Linked DNA regions of Drosophila melanogaster. The protein of the gene in region 1 purifies or fractionates together with the protein of each later gene. This does not show direct contact. Each region holds a gene or a part of one and is shown in the gene's direction. Other genes may lie near its edges. The genes, in order: Col4a1, Tet, Plod and CG7049.

What was found.
Region 2: the proteins of Col4a1 (region 1) and Tet purify together in Drosophila melanogaster (affinity purification with mass spectrometry, with the first as the bait; one large-scale study listed by BioGRID). This does not show direct contact.
Region 3: the proteins of Col4a1 (region 1) and Plod purify together in Drosophila melanogaster (affinity purification with mass spectrometry, with the first as the bait; one large-scale study listed by BioGRID). This does not show direct contact.
Region 4: the proteins of Col4a1 (region 1) and CG7049 purify together in Drosophila melanogaster (affinity purification with mass spectrometry, with the first as the bait; one large-scale study listed by BioGRID). This does not show direct contact.

What each region holds. Positions count from the first base shown.
Region 1 is NT_033779.5:5,027,509-5,032,783, forward strand, and holds the start of Col4a1 (collagen type IV alpha 1), read left to right. Parts: upstream 1-2,100; 5' UTR 2,101-2,238; exon of another isoform or gene 2,239-2,302; intron 2,303-2,628; 5' UTR 2,629-2,709; coding exon 2,710-2,729; intron 2,730-3,233; coding exon 3,234-3,282; intron 3,283-3,346; coding exon 3,347-4,294; intron 4,295-4,369; coding exon 4,370-4,866; intron 4,867-4,991; coding exon 4,992-5,275. UniProt on the Drosophila melanogaster protein: Collagen type IV is specific for basement membranes.
Region 2 is NT_037436.4:2,875,875-2,880,740, reverse strand, and holds the start of Tet (Ten-Eleven translocation (TET) family protein), read left to right. Parts: upstream 1-1,582; 5' UTR 1,583-2,208; intron 2,209-4,866. UniProt on the Drosophila melanogaster protein: Dioxygenase that specifically demethylates DNA methylated on the 6th position of adenine (N(6)-methyladenosine) DNA.
Region 3 is NT_037436.4:11,203,004-11,208,108, reverse strand, and holds the start of Plod (procollagen lysyl hydroxylase), read left to right. Parts: upstream 1-2,092; 5' UTR 2,093-2,153; exon of another isoform or gene 2,154-2,239; 5' UTR 2,240-2,296; coding exon 2,297-2,375; intron 2,376-3,118; coding exon 3,119-3,204; intron 3,205-4,436; coding exon 4,437-4,576; intron 4,577-4,634; coding exon 4,635-5,105. Other genes in the region: Ube3a (ubiquitin protein ligase E3A), read left to right, coding at 1-104, 171-352, 419-911, 974-1,312. UniProt on the Drosophila melanogaster protein: Forms hydroxylysine residues in collagen type IV. Required for the secretion of collagen type IV (vkg) from haemocytes, fat body and follicle cells.
Region 4 is NT_037436.4:174,313-178,171, reverse strand, and holds CG7049 (uncharacterized protein), read left to right. Parts: upstream 1-1,943; 5' UTR 1,944-1,968; coding exon 1,969-2,979; 3' UTR 2,980-3,060; downstream 3,061-3,859. Other genes in the region: Vdup1 (vitamin D[[3]] up-regulated protein 1), read left to right, coding at 335-790, 844-1,026, 1,093-1,482.

The sequences.
Region 1 (5,275 bases):
AGTTCGGCCGTTCGCGATCGGCTCTCGGCCCACCAATACTATCGCAAGTGGAAGTTGCAGCAGTGTGAGTGTAGTAGGCACAGGCCAGGGACAGGCCCGGATGGATGTTTTGGATGGAGATTTGGATGGAGGTTTGGATGTAGATGTGACTCCGGGCTCTGGTTATGGTTCGGAATTTAGCACTTTGACGCCTTGAAACGAGGAAATGAGGAGCAGAGCCCTCTAACCAAATCAAAGCGGCCCGATTCTAAGCATACAAATTCTATTTCCCATTTTGGTACCGTATCCCTGAAGGGGTATGATCAATCAGATTCTCACTTTGTTCTTTTTATTAGGCACGTCTCTTGGGAAAATACAAATTATTAAATAATTTATTAATTAATGTTACTATTACTAACTATTACTAACAGGCACATACCATTTATACATAATAACCATCCGCATATAACTTAAATGATAGTTCCAACTAGCGACACACGATATTTCTTGCGGGGTAAAAGCTATTCTAATACTCAATCCCAGCTATCCTAGTGATTTCAATACAATTAGATGCTAGTTTGTTTGTCGCGCTTCTCGTGATTAGGTTAAGGCTTTTTCATTTAGTACTTACATATATGGCATATGTGAGGCTGATAAGACGGATATGGCTGAGTATTTCCTGTTAGAACGAACTACTGATCAACTGAAAACCGAACATGAGTTTTAAGCTCCAATAAGTCCGACGCAGAAAAGCCAAATGGGAACCTTTCGAAATTCGAGCCTGATTTTGGGTTTCGGGGCCACAGTGTTTTGAAATAAGTCTTGATAGGGCGGCTATAATCAAGGCCTCGTTCTAGTTGGGAAAGCTCTTTTGTTCTAGGGTACGTGCAAGTCGGATATGGCCCAGTGGCCTGAATATATGTCTTCTCAGGAAACTGCTGTGATTAGGATATTAAATGATGTCGCACTTCGGCAACTTAAAATCTTATTAATTTATGTTTAGAGCGGTATTAGTAAGTATTATGTCGTACTTACTATCAAAATGAATGGATCTCAATAATTATTATTAATTAAATAACAATAATTATTTTAAGTATGTATAAAACTTGGCACTTAAAATGAAATTTCATTTAAGATACATTTAGTTTTAATAAAGCGTAGATAGATACAAAAAAAATCGAAAAAAGACCATTCTTTGAAACAATAATTGCATCGACATACTAAAATCAATCAAACTAAAATATTTTGTTTTAGAAAAGAATGGAATGATTTGAATAATCAGTTATATATAGCAAATAAAAATATACCAAGTAAAGCTTAAAAAGAGATTTAATCTTCAAAACCTTTGTCAAATTAATTATATCAGTTTTGAAAGCTAGAGAATATTTTTAAAACTTAGAAAAGGACTATAATCCTATTAAAAGTAAAGTATATGCCAATAAAATGTTTACACATGTTTTTGTTATCCTTTAAGTTTTAGATATTTTTATCATACTTATTGTAAGTACACACAAAATTTTGATGAGGTTATAATTAGAACATTGGCCTGATAGCGAAGCCTTCGGAATTTCCCTTGCCCGAGCACCGAAAAAAGTCCAAAAAGCAGGAGCCGCAGGGGCGGACCAAAACGGAAGCCATGTGCCCGATCTCAGGGCGGGGGCTATCAGCTAATTTTGAGATGGGAGCTGGTAGCTGCGATCTGGAAGCTGGGATCTGGGAGCCGGAGAGCTGGTTGAAGGTGCTCCCGGGGAGGTGCTCCGGCGGAACGAAGCTGATGTGCTATTGAGCAACTTAAGTCGCATGTGGCATATCAACAGCAGCGACGGACTTATCGCCAAGTTTCATTCATTCCGCAGCGACTATGTTAACTTGTGGGATTAGTGTTGCTACATACGACGACCCGTCGCCCATCCGTTCTATATGCCATGGTGCCACCACCCACCTCCCACCAGCCACCTCGCAGCCATCGCAACCGATCCGATGCCCATCCAATCCCCGTCGAATCACACGGATAGTGTACATGAGCCGTAGACCCGATCGTCGAGATCGTGCCAAGCCGAACGATCGACGAGTGAAGATCGGGGCATCGGCGTTTGGCTTTTGGATCGCTCGAACTTATACTATAATTAGTCGTGTTCCGTCTCCCCGAGTAAGTAGTAGTCTGGTCTCGGTCCGGAGCTGATCTGGCCAGCTGGTTTTAGTCTTTAGTCAGCGCTGTGGAGTGGTGATCGGTTCGGATCGGATCGCTCGGTTGTGAATGTGTGTTTCCATTAGGGTCCCGTCCCGTCCCGTCCAACCGTCCCTTAAATAGGATTTGATTCCTGTAAGGAACTGAGCTTTTACAACAACAAAATAATATAAACATAAAATATCTTAATTAAATCAGGAAGAACGCGTACTATTAATTGAAAATATCCAGCAAGTCGTTGTGCGAGTCTCGTACCAGTTCCAGTGCCTCTCAAACTGTCGCGTGTATATGCTTGGAAATGAAATGAAACGAAATACAAGAATTAAATCGTTGAAAAAAAATAAGCCAGCTCGATTTTCCCACAAATATTAAATAAAATAATATTCCTCTAAGAATATTTCCAATTTATTTTGCAACTGTTGCGAAATTAAAGTGCCCAATTCTCTGGCTCATCTTTCCAGGCCCAGCGACGGCAACATATAAACTTCAAATTCGACGAGGACAGAGCAAATAATTGTGCAGGCTTAAGTGCATAGGGCATCATGTTGCCCTTCTGGAAGCGGTAAGAAAAATGACAAAAGTTAGAAAAATAATACAAATGGTTGCAAAAATTTAAGTTAATCAAAGAAAGCAATTGTTAATTATTAAAAACCATGACAATAATACTTACTTAACAACTAATAATACTCTATTTAAAAATTTAAAATTTTTTTGAAATTTTTAATGATTAAAACCCAGTTATGGCCTAAAAAAGTATTGCCAATTTTTTTCTTTCTAATCCATTCAGAAAGAGCAAATATTAGTTTTTAAATTAATATTTTAGATATCAGCAATACAAAAATACATAATTTAAAACATCACATTTGTTCAATTTTTTTTTAATTTTTCGAAGCGCGATCTCTTAAAAACTTGTAAGCTCTCTCTTAAGCGCCTTTAGCAAACTCTCTTGAATTGACGGCTTAAGAGAGAGCTGCCAATCGAAGAGAGCTATGTCCAATTAAATAGCTAGACTGATAAGACGAAGCACAGTTCCTAACCCTCCTGATCTTCGTCGACTTCTTTGCAGGCTGCTATACGCCGCTGTGATCGCGGGAGCGTTAGTCGGTGCCGACGCTGTAAGATAACCGTAGCCCATGCCATCCATCTGGACATTGAATAATATACTCCTTTTCCCCGCAGCAATTTTGGAAGACGGCTGGTACGGCCGGTTCGATTCAGGACTCCGTGAAACACTACAATCGAAATGAACCCAAGTTCCCAATCGACGACAGTTACGACATTGTAGACTCTGCCGGCGTGGCGCGCGGCGATCTGCCGCCCAAGAATTGTACGGCCGGATATGCGGGCTGTGTGCCCAAGTGCATAGCGGAGAAGGGCAACCGTGGTCTGCCGGGCCCTCTTGGACCCACGGGATTGAAGGGCGAAATGGGTTTCCCTGGCATGGAGGGACCATCTGGTGACAAGGGTCAGAAGGGTGATCCCGGCCCATACGGACAGCGTGGTGATAAGGGTGAGCGCGGATCGCCTGGTCTTCATGGTCAGGCTGGTGTACCCGGAGTCCAGGGACCCGCCGGCAATCCCGGAGCCCCTGGTATCAACGGTAAAGACGGTTGCGACGGACAGGATGGTATTCCTGGCTTGGAGGGTCTATCCGGAATGCCCGGACCTCGCGGATATGCCGGCCAGCTTGGCAGCAAGGGCGAGAAGGGTGAACCGGCAAAGGAGAACGGTGATTACGCGAAGGGCGAGAAGGGTGAGCCCGGTTGGAGGGGGACTGCCGGTTTGGCTGGACCACAAGGATTTCCTGGAGAAAAGGGCGAGCGCGGCGACAGTGGACCTTACGGAGCCAAAGGACCCCGGGGTGAGCACGGTCTGAAGGGAGAGAAGGGTGCCTCCTGCTACGGACCCATGAAGCCTGGTGCACCGGGTATCAAGGGCGAGAAGGGTGAGCCCGCGTCCTCGTTTCCCGTCAAACCGACCCACACGGTGATGGGACCTCGCGGCGATATGGGACAGAAGGGAGAGCCTGGCCTAGTTGGCCGCAAGGGTGAGCCCGGACCTGAAGGCGACACTGGACTCGATGGACAGAAGGGCGAGAAGGGTCTGCCCGGCGGCCCAGGCGATCGCGTAAGTCGAGTTCATACTTAAGGCTCCAAATCGAAGTGGAAGTTGAAACCTCTATAATGAAATATATACGTACAGGGTCGCCAAGGTAACTTTGGACCCCCAGGATCTACAGGACAAAAGGGAGATCGTGGCGAGCCGGGCCTTAATGGTCTGCCCGGTAATCCCGGACAGAAGGGTGAGCCAGGACGTGCTGGAGCGACAGGTAAGCCTGGTCTGCTCGGTCCTCCGGGACCGCCAGGCGGTGGCCGTGGAACACCAGGACCCCCGGGACCCAAAGGACCCCGCGGCTATGTTGGCGCACCTGGACCCCAGGGATTAAACGGAGTTGATGGACTACCGGGTCCTCAGGGATACAATGGACAAAAGGGAGGTGCTGGTCTGCCCGGTCGCCCCGGCAACGAGGGACCTCCTGGCAAAAAGGGAGAAAAGGGAACCGCAGGACTTAATGGACCAAAGGGATCCATCGGACCCATTGGACACCCAGGACCACCGGGACCAGAGGGACAGAAGGGTGACGCCGGTTTGCCCGGTTATGGCATTCAAGGATCTAAGGGAGATGCTGGCATACCTGGGTAAGTGCAATGATTCATTTAATAGTCCTAGCACTCAGTCGAGTCCCACTGTGGAGCCGAGTCCTGTTCTTACTTTCCTTCATTAAAGATCTTATTTAATTCGAATTAATTTTCGTTCGTCCTAGTTATCCCGGACTAAAGGGTAGCAAGGGAGAGCGCGGCTTCAAGGGCAATGCTGGTGCTCCCGGTGACTCCAAGCTGGGTCGTCCTGGAACTCCCGGTGCCGCTGGTGCTCCTGGACAAAAGGGAGACGCTGGTCGTCCCGGCACTCCTGGCCAAAAGGGAGACATGGGTATCAAGGGTGACGTCGGCGGCAAATGCTCATCGTGCAGGGCCGGACCAAAGGGTGATAAGGGAACGAGCGGACTGCCTGGAATTCCCGGAAAGGATGGCGCACGAGGACCGCCTG
Region 2 (4,866 bases), on another chromosome or scaffold:
TGCAGAAGAACGAAGAGAGACTTGCAGCAGCTTCGAGTGCAGAAAACCCAACTATGAAGAACTTGTCTGCGGATCGTGAACTTAAGAACTATCTAAGAGGAGAAAAGGCCGGCTGCATTTTGTTGTTTGTGCAGATGTTTCTTCGAGGTTCCTCGAGGGATTTTATGGGTATGCGTTGCGTATGGGACAGGTCAGTGTTCGGAGGATTCGGATTCAGATTGAGATTCGGTTCCGGAGGATTCGAAGTCGGTTAAGGGTTGTGCCCCTAGGTTGAATGATTTTCCATTACGCAATGCAAATAGACAGCAGCGTTCCGCGTACTCGCTTTGTTTTGTTATTTTCTCTGTCAGCGCCAGGCAACAATGCAACTGTCAAGGTTTCCATTTTCCGCCGTGGATTGCTCTCTATGAAATGGCGAAAAAATGGCAGCTCCACTAATAGTTGGCATGAAACGAGGTTGCAACAGGACCGCCACGAGAAAAAAGTGAAATGAAATCAACCGCCCCCGCTCTTTGCGCAAAAGTAAAAAAGGGGCAAAACATGGCAGGCAAATTGTACCAAAATCCCGCAACGGCAGCCAGTGCAATGCCAGGATATATGGCACATGCCCACAAGGTCCTGCCTCCGTGTCCTGCGTCCAGCGCAGCAGTGGCAGCAACAGCACCGCAGCAACGTCCACGGCACCGCAGCAACAGCAGCGGGAAAGTAAAACTTATTCGGCTGGTCGAACTGCGAATGCCCTGAATTTCGAAACACATTTTGCGAGCTTATCTATTCTGATAAAATTGTAAATAAATCAATAAACTATACGCCAATTACCATATAATGCATGCTTGAATTCAATGTGCTTAATTGCTAAGTAAGCTAAGTAAGCTCCTTGGTTAGGGTATCAAAACAAAGGCAGCAGAAAATATCTCGTAGCGCACATAGATTGCAAGTTCGCATTGTGAGCGCGAAACTAGGGAAAAAAATTTTTAATTGGAACAACAACTGTACAGCGGCGCAGCAGCAGCAACAACAACAAAAGCGCACTTCAAACGCCGCATGTTCGTATCCGTGTCTTGTTGCAGCTGTGTGTGTGTGTGTGTGTGCTTGTGTGTTAATGAAAGAGAGAGGATGCAGCCGTAAATGTAACTGTGTGCGTGCGGCTGTGTGTTTGTGTGTGTGTGCCAGGACTCTCGAGCCAAAAGTTGCAGGCGCAACAGCAACAAGCAGCAGTTCGAAGTTAAATATTTAAGAATTTACAAAACTTTTTAGGGAACATAAAAATAAATACAAATTTCAAAACGAAAGAATCTTGCTCTTCATCTTTTAATGATGGTCAAACTGAAAAATAATATATTTTACGAATGACTAATAAGCACAAAAATAAATTAAAAATCATTTCTTAAAAATGCTTAAGTATTGAATGAATTATACAATATAAAACCGCTAGTTAAGAGAATTCGGTCGTCATGCTTGTTGTATTCTTAAGTTCGAGTGGAGCCCGCATTGGTTCGATGCGAACATGAACCTGTTCGCTTCGAGCACGAACTTGTTCGATACATTTTATGTTTGCTCCTTCATTTTCATTTTCATTTTCAGTTCAGTTAGTTCAGTTGTTGTGTATCCTTCGGGTGAAAAGTTTCCTACAAAACACGGACTTTTGCACCGCCGCCGCCGTTCGAGCGCTAGAAACGAGTGCGAGTGCGTGTGAGACTTACTAGCTAACTAACTGATTCTGATTCTGATTTTCGGGAATATACTATCCCTTCGGTGTGGGTGTGATCGAGTTCAAGGACTCGCGACTAACTTGTTCCAGTTTCGAAAACAGGCAGCCCCAAATAATGTGACCAATGTGACCAGTGAATTAGAATATCCAAGAGCAAAACAAAATCAAGAACTCCCGCAGATGCCGCACTTGCAGCTCCAAGTTCTTCAGCTTTTCATCCAAGTCCCGGTTTAATTTGCAGCTCCAGTTTCGCGCTCGGTTCTCTGGGTTTCCCTGCAATTTCCGCGATTTCCTTCTTTTGTTCCCTTCGTTCCGTTTTCGCGTCGCGGTTTGTTATTGTCAACTTTCGTTTTCGTGCGGTTTTTCGCGGCTTTTCTAACGGTCCAACGACGGTCGGCAAATGGATAGTGAAACTGGCTTGGATTTCCAATAGCTTCTAAGTACTCAACATTTTCCGAGGAAAAAAACTCGTGAAAGGACATGGATTAACAACTAAGGTTTGTAGTAGGGATTTAACAATATACATATATTTAAGTATATATAAATCGGGATGCTTTATGTATACCTTTTATCTATATATAACTATTCTGCGTATATAATCATTTTATTTGTGGTACCAAAGAAAATTAAATAAATGGTTTTTTTTTTTCATTAATTAAGCATAGCCATCAAACAAAAAGACAAATAGCCGCATACAGAACATAACTAACTCTTTGAAAACGAATCGTAAGGAACGTTTCCAAGAAACCAAACAGAATGGCCATATCCCTTTCATAAAACCGACTCCAATTAATAAAGCCAATTGAGCAAATGTATAAAAATGTTGAGCTCCAATCAAATATAAAACTCTACGCTTTTGTTCCTAATCCCTCAATTAAACTCACCTCTCGACCGAAAGCCAAAGAAAAACAAATTTCCAATTGAAATTTGCATTTGGGGCACAGGAAATACTTTCCAAGCGTAAACATGTAAACAAAGAGATAACAATTGTTATTGGTCATCCGAGGATCAAATTACAATAAGTGCAAGCTCAAAGAAGACCCAAAAAACAAAATCACAATCACCTAAGCAGGCAATTTCAGCGAGCTTTATTTGTGCAAGACAAATAAACAAAATAAAATAATAATATTACAGTAAAGGCAGAGGCTTCTCTTTTTGGACCGCAAACACTTATGGCAATGAGTAATGACTTTTAAAAGAAGAACTGTTTCTGATAGATACATTTTGCGTTTGTCTTAGCGCCAACTTAAATTAAAAAGCAGCGGGCTCTGAACTTCTTCTGGTTGTGAAGAGTTGAGCCGAGGCCCTGAAAACGTGCCAGAAAGCGACACACAGAGATACAAAGATACAGATACTCGTAACTAACAGTAACGTGCGTACATCTTCAAGATACTTTTTGGCGCGCTCAGAACAGAAGCGCCGAAAACAGAAAATAAAACAAGGAGAGTACATGGGAACGAGAAGCACAACAGAAAGCGAAAAGCTAAGAACACAGAAGGAGATACTTGTGCTCCTACAAGATACAGCTACAGATACAGATACATGGCAATAAAGAGAATTTAAAGAAAGATAAATAATAAAACCAAACAAATTGAGGCGCAGGCCGCGAAAGAAGTTCAAGTTCAGCGAATGTATCTCCGTGCCAGTATCTGTATCTGTTGGATGCAATTTGTCGGCCGCCTGCAAGTTTATTACCGTCTTACCCCCAATGAATCTATATATAGCTGCCATATTTTGTTTACAATTTTCCGCCGCCCACGATTCATTCATAAAACACATCAGCCCAAAATAAAAGTTGGCAAAAGGACACGCAGGCAAATTAAGGCTTTGACCTAGAGAAAAATAAACAACACCCAGGATATAACCCCTGCCCCCGTCCTCCCCCCCTCCACACACTCGTTAACAGTAACGTGCGTGACTTTGAAAGCAGGCAAGGCAAATGACAAACTCGTAAATCTCAACACACTCACGGGAAGTGGGTGGTGCGTTTTTTTTTTTGGGATGTGGGTGAAAATGCGAGGCATAAGTGCCCCTACTCCCATTCATATACGCTTAATACTCAGCCGCGTATGCCTGTCCATGGACTCCTTGCATGGCTTCATTGGGCCCCACAGCACGTTTCATTTCATCCACACCTGCACCGCCGCACCACTCCGCGCACAACCCATCCCCACACCCAAACACCCAAACACCAATACCGCCAAGCTTCGGCACAACTCAATTTGCACGTGACACAACGAGGAACGAGATGTGGAGCAGGCACTGCCAGGCGAATTAACTCGCGTCAGGAATTTAAAGAAAATATCTTTCAGATACTATATATATTTTTAAGCATTCAAGTTCTAAGCTAGAACGAAAAAATGTTATATGAGAGCTTGAAATTAAGTTTTCGTATTAATATTCGCCATCATTTATAATATTGTAATAACTTGCCTTTAAGAAATTCAAACAGAGAACCGACAGAGAATAGTCGCTTAACTAAAAACAATTTTATTGCATTTGATGGCTTGATAAACAGCTTTCACTAAATTGCCTGCGTTCCATAGTATTTGTCTTGACTTTCAAGCTACCTTCCGCACAATATAAACTCGATTAAGTACATCCACCACCTTCGCAAGGAATGCAATTTCAGCCGTCTAGTTCGTATCATTAACATAAAATGAAATAATTTCCCCACCCATTTGCCAGTTTGTGGGGCTTCTTGAAATGCTACCCGGCCGAAATGATGCACCCCACCGAAAGTGGAATGGAATTTTATTCATTAACTTGCTGCGCTGCACATTTGGCAATTGTATAACATGCATAAATATGCAAACTTATTATGGCCCGAAAAATAGTTTCGCAATAGCGCAGTGCTGGGGAAAAATGTTAATAAATATTTAGCCCAACTGCTTTTGAACAATCCTCATATGAGCAAAAGTTGTAAACAAGCGCACAATGTTCGGATAACATATTAAAATATTACATTGAAGAGGATGAGCTGGGAAACTGGTTATGGGGACGAGGAGGAGGACGTGGGTTTCAGTTGGGAAAGGGGAGCACTTCATTTGCACAAATGGAGCGTCAGCTTGACAGGCAGACTGTTGAGAAGGCGGCGGAGGCGACGGGGGCGTCCTGCAGGATCCTGGGAAATGGGATGTTCGGAACATGCTGCT
Region 3 (5,105 bases), on another chromosome or scaffold:
CCATCCTCAACAATATTGGCCAGGTAGGACAGGAAGATAATCCTCGGCCGGATCTTAAGCTGACGGTGCGAAGGGACCAGCTCATCAACGACGCACTTATTGGGGTGTGTACAAATGGTTCTTTAGTGTCCTAGTTAACAGGCGTAATTAATACACGTTTAATTCCCCAGCTGGAAATGGTGGCCATGAGCAATCCAAAGGATCTCAAGAAGCAGTTGGTGGTGGAGTTTGTCGGCGAGCAGGGGATCGATGAAGGCGGCGTATCCAAAGAGTTCTTCCAGCTAATCGTGGAGGAGATATTTAACCCGGCTTTTGGAATGTTTATACAGCAAGAGGAGACCAACAATATGTGGTGGGTATTCAATTGGGATAAATCTGTTCAGTTGAACTATATAAATATATATATATACATATGCAGGTTCAATGCCACACCATTTGAGAACGGAGCGCAATTCACTCTGATTGGTATAATTATTGGCCTGGCGATCTATAACAACGTCACCCTGGCCGTAAACTTCCCCATGGTGGTCTATCGCAAGTTGATAGGCTATTGCGGCACGTTCGCAGACCTCAGCGACTGGAGTCCGGCGCTGTACAAGAGTCTGAAGTCCATGCTGGACTATCAGGGCCAGGATATGGAGGAGGTATTCGAACAGACCTTCAAGATTAGCTATAGCGATGTTTTCGGTGATGTGGTACAACACGAACTGGTGCCGAACGGCCAGGATGTACTGGTGGGGCAGCACAACAAGGAACTGTTTGTCAACCTGTACAGTGATTTCCTGCTTAACACGAATATCGAACAGCAGTTCAATGCTTTCCGCAAGGGCTTCGAAATGGTTACGGACGAATCGCCACTGAAGCTGCTCTTCCGTCCAGAGGAGATTGAAATGCTGGTCTGCGGCAGTCGTGTGAGTAGCTAAATTCAAATTACGAAATTCATTCGGTTGCTGAACTCTGAAACCTTCGGCAGGAATTCGACTTTGTGGAACTGGAAAACTCCACTGTGTACGAGGGCGGCTACACGGAGAAGAGCCAGTACATCCAGGACTTCTGGAGCATAGTGCATGCGATGCCCAGCGAGGACAAGCACAAGCTGCTCGAATTCACGACGGGATCGGCGCGTGTTCCGGTTGGCGGCCTGAAATGCCTGCGTCTGCTAATCACGCGTCACGGTCCGGATAGCGATCGGTTGCCTACCTCGCACACCTGCTTCAACGTTCTCCTCCTGCCCGAGTACAGCAGCCGCGAGAAGCTGGAGGAGCGCCTGATGAAGGCCATCAACTACTCGAAGGGCTTCGGCATGCTGTAGACTATGGTCCAAACTGCAAGTGCAAGTCTGTCATCTGGAACTGATACCACCACCTCTCTGGGAAGAAGATTTCGAAGACTTTGATCGGTTTGAGTTCGTTTTGGGTTCTGCCATTTATTTTTGATACGACCTGTTCAATGAGACAATATATACATACCCAATATATGTGCTCAATTTATATGGTGCGACGGCGAAGCGAGCAGACCGAACGGACACGCGATTTTGTTTCCCTTCTTTAGCCCAGTTAATTGTACATAAACACACACATAAACACGCCACATACTACATTATGTGAACTTACCCTAGGAACAACACCCACATTTAAAAACAGTACGCGCTGAATATTTTCCTAAATAAATTTAAAGTAGTTCGGCGAAGAAACAGATGTATTTTCCATTTAGATTGGTTTTCGCAAGTATGGAATATTTTTTAATATTAGATATTTTTAATTTAAACTAAGATTACTAACAAATTAAAATTGTGGAAAAAGATTCATTTAAATTATATTTACATATTTAATTTAGTATAGAAACATCAAATACAAAACATTTTGTAAGCAATATTTCACACTAGCTGACATTTAAATTTCGGTGTGAAGTACTTTTTATTTTTTAACTTAAAAAATAACTTGTTAACTTTATTTTTTATTTAGTCTAGACACATTTAAAAAAAAAAGAGGTGTGAAAGCCTTATTTCACAACAGCTGACTTGGGACTAGTGGATTTTTTAGGCCCTTTTTTTCAGGCGATATTTTCTAACGGCTTAGCCGCAGCCACACATTTGTTATTCGCGTTTCTGAGTTTCTTGCGGGTGGGACTCCCGATATTTTGTGGAGCGGAAGGTGTTTTGATTTCCTTAGCATTTAGCACAAAAAAATGCAACTAGTATAAAGTACTGTTCACTATAACAATTTTTAACCACCGATAGCGAGTGCTTCACTGTGTGTGCGAGTAAGAGAGAGAGAGAGCAACTAGCTCCAGCATCATGAGAATACAACAAAGCGCCTTGTTGTTGTTGCTGCTGGCCGTGACGTCGCAAGGAGATGCCGAGTCCAATTGGAATGGTTTGTTCTTAATTTCTAACTAGAATGAGTTCATCAGCAGCCATAGAAAATTATATTGCATTCATGTTTTCATATTTTTCGATCTTAAGTGCATTCCACTGCCGTACTTATTACACAAATGCACAGAGATAAAAAGGGATGTGATGCGGTTGGTTTTTTCTTATCATTCTTGATAAGAAACTAGAACATCCTTTTCTCGTTCAAAACATAAAAAGTCCGAAATGTAGTTTCCCCTTACTTTTTTCTGTGTATGTGCAGTACATATCTCAGAGAATTTGTTTATGATCCATATACCACCCGACCACATCTCTCCTTGCCTTTTAATTTGCTTTTGTTTTCGTTTCGCTTTGATGCTGCGGTCGTTTACTCTGGAATTGCTCGGAAAACGGAGCAGATGCAGATTCAAGTGTTCAGATGCATCTGCATCTGAGATGAAAGATACAAAATGGTTCTCAAACAGCAAATTCGTTTACACATTCAGAAATTAAACTGCTTTAAACAAGCCGAACTTGTTGTCTAACATGTATTCGTTATAATTTAATGACTTCAGACAATACAATATCATTTTGTTGTATTCTAATTAGAACCCAAAACTAGAATACAGTAGAGCTTACGCAAGTTCAACGAGCAATATAAGAAACTATTAAATTTATGTTAAATTACATTAATTAAAAATAATCCAAAAGTAATGACTTACTTTCTATTAATCTTTACTATTGATTCATATATATGTTAATTTACAGACAAAATCAAAGTGTTCACTGTGGCCACTGAACCCACCGATGGCTATACTAGATATATTCGATCTGCACGAGTCTACGATATTGAGGTGAGGATTCGTATTAATTAGAGCATTTTAAAGTCGAGACAAGAAATTGTTTCACACTGTCTATCTAATATCTATGAGCTGCTATAGTTAGGTATTATGGTTAGCGGAAAAAGAATTATAAAGCGGTTGGAACTTTGAAACTTGACAGTTCATCAAGAAAGACATTCTACCATCTGGGATAAAAATTAGAGAACATTAAATACAGTTATGCATATACTTCTGCCTGAACAAAATTGGCCAACTTTTATGTTTAATAGAACATCTGCGAACAACTCTTCATATGCAAATGAGTTTTGATTGTTTTTATTGATGAATTTCTAATTTGACGACACTCTCAGACAATAGAATTTTCATAAAAACTGGTATATAAGCTAGAACATAGCATTTATGACAGATTAGAACTGGACGATGTGAGTATGTATTGTATTGTCTTAAATGAATCAAGACTTGCCCGGCGGCTTGGCACACTTAGGCAACATTGTATTATTAAAATGTCTGGTTAGCATATAATATAGTAGCTATATATATCTGTGCCTATTCGCCGCTACCCGAGCATCCGGCGTTGGCGTCCGATTTTCTGATGTGGAACACCGAGATTGGCTGCTGGACATTGTGGGGGCAACGACAACATGTAGTCAACATATAGTGCACACATGTTGAAATCACGTACGCCAAGGAGATTCGGTGCAGTCGCCGGGGGTAATTAGCACAATACATTGGGATTGGGTTCCCGATTCATTGATAGCTTAGAACTTTCTACACCAAGTCGATGGGAGATTTCGCTTATCGGTGACACTTTTTGTATTGTCGGCCGGCTTAGAAATTTTGTTGTTCAAAAATATATATGCACGACAATAAAATGTGCTGATAAGCTCGCTTAGCCGGCTTTTTTTCATGGATTGAACCTGATCTCTCCCCCTTTGCTTTGAATTTCTATATATGTACATTTTTTTTTTGTATTTAAAGAACTGTGCGACCCAAGATATTTAATACCGCAGCGTTGCTAAATGAATGAAATTTGTGATTTGGTTTCCTTTAATGGAAAAGATATGATTTCTTTTAAATTTTGTGTCATATTTTTGGTTGCTTTGTATATGTTTTATATAATATGAGCTTGTAGATTAAACAAATATATAGATTTAGGTAGCTTGTTAGTCCAGTTTGTTGTCAGTGATAAAGATATACGCATCAGATCACTGGTTAGCATTTAAAATAATATTTAATCTTTAAAGGTAACCACCCTTGGCTTGGGAGAGGAATGGAAAGGAGGAGATATGCAAAAGCCTGGCGGCGGATTTAAGCTCAACCTTCTGCGCGAAGCTATTGCTCCGTATAAAAATGAACCCGAAACAATCATACTCTTCACAGACAGGTTTGAAATTCAATGAAAAATCCAAAGGAGTTGTTAATAATTAAGGTGTACTTTTTAGCTACGATGTGATTATCACCACCACGCTGGATGAGATCTTTGAGAAATTCAAGGAGTCTGGTGCCAAGATACTCTTCTCCGCCGAGAAATACTGCTGGCCCGACAAAAGTCTGGCCAATGACTATCCCGAAGTGGAGGGCAAGGCCTCCAGATTCCTCAACTCGGGCGCGTTCATTGGTTATGCACCACAAGTTTTCGCTCTGCTGGTGGATCCAATTGAAGACACTGCCGACGATCAGCTATATTTTACAAAGATCTTCCTTGACGAGACCAAACGCGCCAAGCTGGGCTTAAAGCTGGACGTACAATCGCGCCTATTCCAAAACCTACATGGTGCCAAGAACGATGTGAAGCTTAAAGTGGATCTCGAGAGCAATCAGGGCGTTCTACAGAACGTGGATTTCATGACAACGCCTTCCATCATCCATGGCAATGGACTTAGCAAAGTGGATCTGAATGCATATGGCAACTA
Region 4 (3,859 bases), on another chromosome or scaffold:
CTTCATGCGCCGACCTTGCAGTTGATGCTTAAGTGTTCGGGGCTTTCGTGCTGCATAGTTGTGCACGCAGCCATCTCTTGGCCGTACGAAACTGGTTTTGTTTCCTTTGCCCGCCTAGATGCTACCCACATAAATATGCAAACAAGCGCCGTATGTATGTGAGACCGTAGTCCGTAGTACATGGTCTCAGACCTAGCCAGCTATGACGGATAAGTTGTCATTAACCATAATGACGCGTGCGGAGCGGGTCAAATATTTGGCAACCGTGTTCTAACGAATTTCGTTGGTTTTTCCTTAGGCGTACGAATGAAATCGGCAACAAAACAGAGGCACGATGCCGCGCAAGTTGCTTAAATTCCTTATCATCTTCGACAACACTTCCCTCCTGTACTTCCCGGGCCAGTTTCTCTCCGGACGGGTTCTAATCGAATTGCAGGATGAGACGCCTGCTTTGGGACTTCATTTCCATGTGGTAGGCGAAGGGGTCGTGCGCAACGGGCGGCGACAGGAGCGGACATACGATAAGGAGAACTATATCGACTTTCGGATGCGACTTCTGGGGGACGTAGACCAAGGAGGTCCAGCTATACTCTCGCCAGGAATTCACAGCTTCCCCTTCAAACTCGGCTTGCCACTGGGTCTTCCATCTACATTTCTCGGTCGGTACGGCTGGATTCAGTTCTACTGCAAGGCGGCGCTCCGCGAGAACAATGGCATTATCCATAAGAACCACCAGGTCTTCATTGTGATGAATCCCATCGACCTAAACCTTGAAAAGCCCATCTTAGCAGTAAGTAGCTTTAAAAACCCTGTTTAAAAAAACTAACCTTTCGCCTGACTCAGCAACCGTTCACCTGCGAAGTTGAGCACAAGCTAGGCGTCGTCTGTGTTGGTGGAGGTCAGATAAAGTGCAGAGTGTCCCTTGATCGCGGTGGGTATGTGCCCGGCGAGAATATTCTGGTCACCGCATTTATATCCAACTACAGTAATGTGTCCATTAAACGGACTAAGGCATCCCTCACTGAGGTCGGTATCGCTTTCAAGTGGCTAGTTACAATTCATCCATTTTGATCTTATTTGGATTTTATTTAGACCATCGAGTATTTGGCGCGGGGGAAGGTGGTGCAAACGGAAAAACGGGAGCTGGCTGTTTTAGTTCGTGGCAAGATCCGTCCGGGGGCCAAAGACGAGTGGCACAACGAGCTTTACGTTCCACCCCTGCCGCCGACCAATCTTCATGGCTGCCACCTGATCAAAATATCCTACGACGTCTTCTTCGTGATCGAACCCAAGTCCATGGAGAAGGAGATTAAGCTACAGCTTCCTATCGTGCTTGCGACGTACCCCTTTCGACACTCCGGTGATGCGGTCAATGCCAACACCTGGCCGGAATCGGTGCTTAAGCCGGACACGCACACCCACTATCCGTCCACACTACCCATATTCCGGCCCTGGCTGCACGAGAAGCCTATCGAGGCATAGCCCGCAGCTTTTAGGATTGCTGTGTATCACAACTTGTTAAGACCGATTTGCGCCATACAACAATTTAAACTTATTTAACTTATACTTAACGTTTTTTAATGTTTCTGGTCTTTGCATTTGTAGGTCTTCCGTTCCCAAAAATTTGTTCATGATTGAAGAATTTATAACAAATACAAACGAAAGTTAACATAAAGACCAGACTTTGATAAATTATAATTAGCTCATATACATAACTTTTTATAAAACCTAAATATTGTAGGTTATATATTATTAAAATGGTAAAACTGCACTCATTAACCTTCTAACTACTACTAAATGGTTATAATAATAATAATAATCCCAAAAGTATGGTTGTTGAAATTGAAATAAATTGTTTAAAACGTTACAGCCTAAAGTATGCTATTAAAAAGCTGGCTTGTTCGGAATTTAAATTCGCGAAATTAAGTATTGATTCCAAAACTAAAAAGGGCCACACTGCACGTTAAGATGACAACAATTATATTAGTCCTCTTTATTTGGATAGTTTTATTCAATGACGTATCCAGCGACTGTGGCTGCCAAAAGCTCGACCGGAAGGCCCCGGATATGCCGTCCATTTCCGGACAAGTGTGCCAGCAACGAGCACAGGGTGCACACAGCCACTACCGGGATTACTATGGCGAACTGGAGCCAAATATTGCGGACATGTCACTGCTTCCGGGAGGCACGGTTTACATGGGTACTGACAAACCGCACTTTCCGGCCGACCGCGAGGCTCCGGAACGGCAGGTGAAGCTGAATGACTTCTACATCGACAAGTATGAGGTTTCCAACGAAGCCTTTGCGAAGTTTGTTCTGCACACTAACTACACCACGGAGGCTGAGCGATATGGCGACAGTTTTCTGTTTAAGAGCCTTTTGAGCCCATTGGAGCAGAAGAACCTAGAGGACTTCCGAGTGGCGAGCGCTGTCTGGTGGTACAAAGTGGCCGGCGTGAACTGGCGACATCCAAATGGCGTGGACAGCGATATAGACCACTTAGGCCGACACCCGGTAGTGCACGTATCGTGGCGCGACGCTGTGGAGTACTGTAAGTGGGCCGGCAAGCGGTTGCCCAGCGAGGCGGAGTGGGAGGCGGCTTGCAGGGGCGGCAAGGAGCGCAAACTGTTTCCCTGGGGCAACAAGCTGATGCCAAGGAATGAACATTGGCTGAACATCTGGCAGGGAGACTTTCCCGATGGCAACCTGGCTGAAGATGGGTTTGAGTACACCAGCCCCGTGGATGCCTTCCGACAGAATATTTACGACCTGCACAACATGGTGGGCAACGTCTGGGAGTGGACGGCAGATCTGTGGGACGTAAATGACGTTAGCGATAATCCAAATCGGGTCAAGAAGGGCGGTTCTTATCTGTGTCACAAGTCCTACTGCTACAGGTACAGGTGCGCGGCACGCTCGCAGAACACAGAAGACAGTTCAGCCGGTAACCTGGGTTTTCGGTGCGCCAAGAATGCGTGAGTTGTCATCGTGGGAAATTCCTCACAACTCTTTTATTTTTACAAATACAACAAATTAACCAAATATAAAGACTTTCATTCGAAATGTACGTCTTGTCGCTTCGCGTAATACATATGTGCGAAGTCCTCCACATTCTGGTACTTGGGATAAACTGAAGACGAGAGAAGTCGTCGTTTCTCTATTAGGCGGAACCGGCTGTCATCTACTGGGAAGTTTATATGAACATTAATTACAAATCAGTTTTATGTTCAGCCATGGGACACACATCTTACAACATAAATTTAAATAAGGCAATAGGGCTTCATTTGAATAACTGAAATTTCATTCAATACTGATTTTTCTATTACAATTTTTTAAATAAAAACGTCACAAATTAGGAATTACTTTAAATCCGTACATTTTGAACTGAAACTGTCGATTATTAAGTTTTTAGCTCAAGGAAAAATTGGGAATGTCAATTGTTTAAAGAAAAGAGCAAAAAGAGCTATCGATTACTATCGATACATACTAAGCCATCGATGGCTTTTTTATAAAAGTCGGCGCTGAAATTACCTTGTAAGAAATGCTTTTAAGTTAAAGATCTTTCTGTTGGATCAGTAGTCTCAAGAAAAAAGTCAGGTATGTATATAAAATGTAACCAAATTGATGCGTTCAGATTTCAATATTTTAAGGTTTATTGTTATTTTATTCGAAGTCTTTAGTTTATTGTTCATATTACATACTAATTTCTTGGTTGTTTACAATTTATATATATATGCTTGTATATCGCTGACTGTAGTAGCGCCAAGGCGCGTTATTCAAAATGTTGGGGGTAAATCTTTCAGATTCTGACTATGCAAGTATAATAATGCGTGCTTAACTTAGGCAGATGTTTATGTGG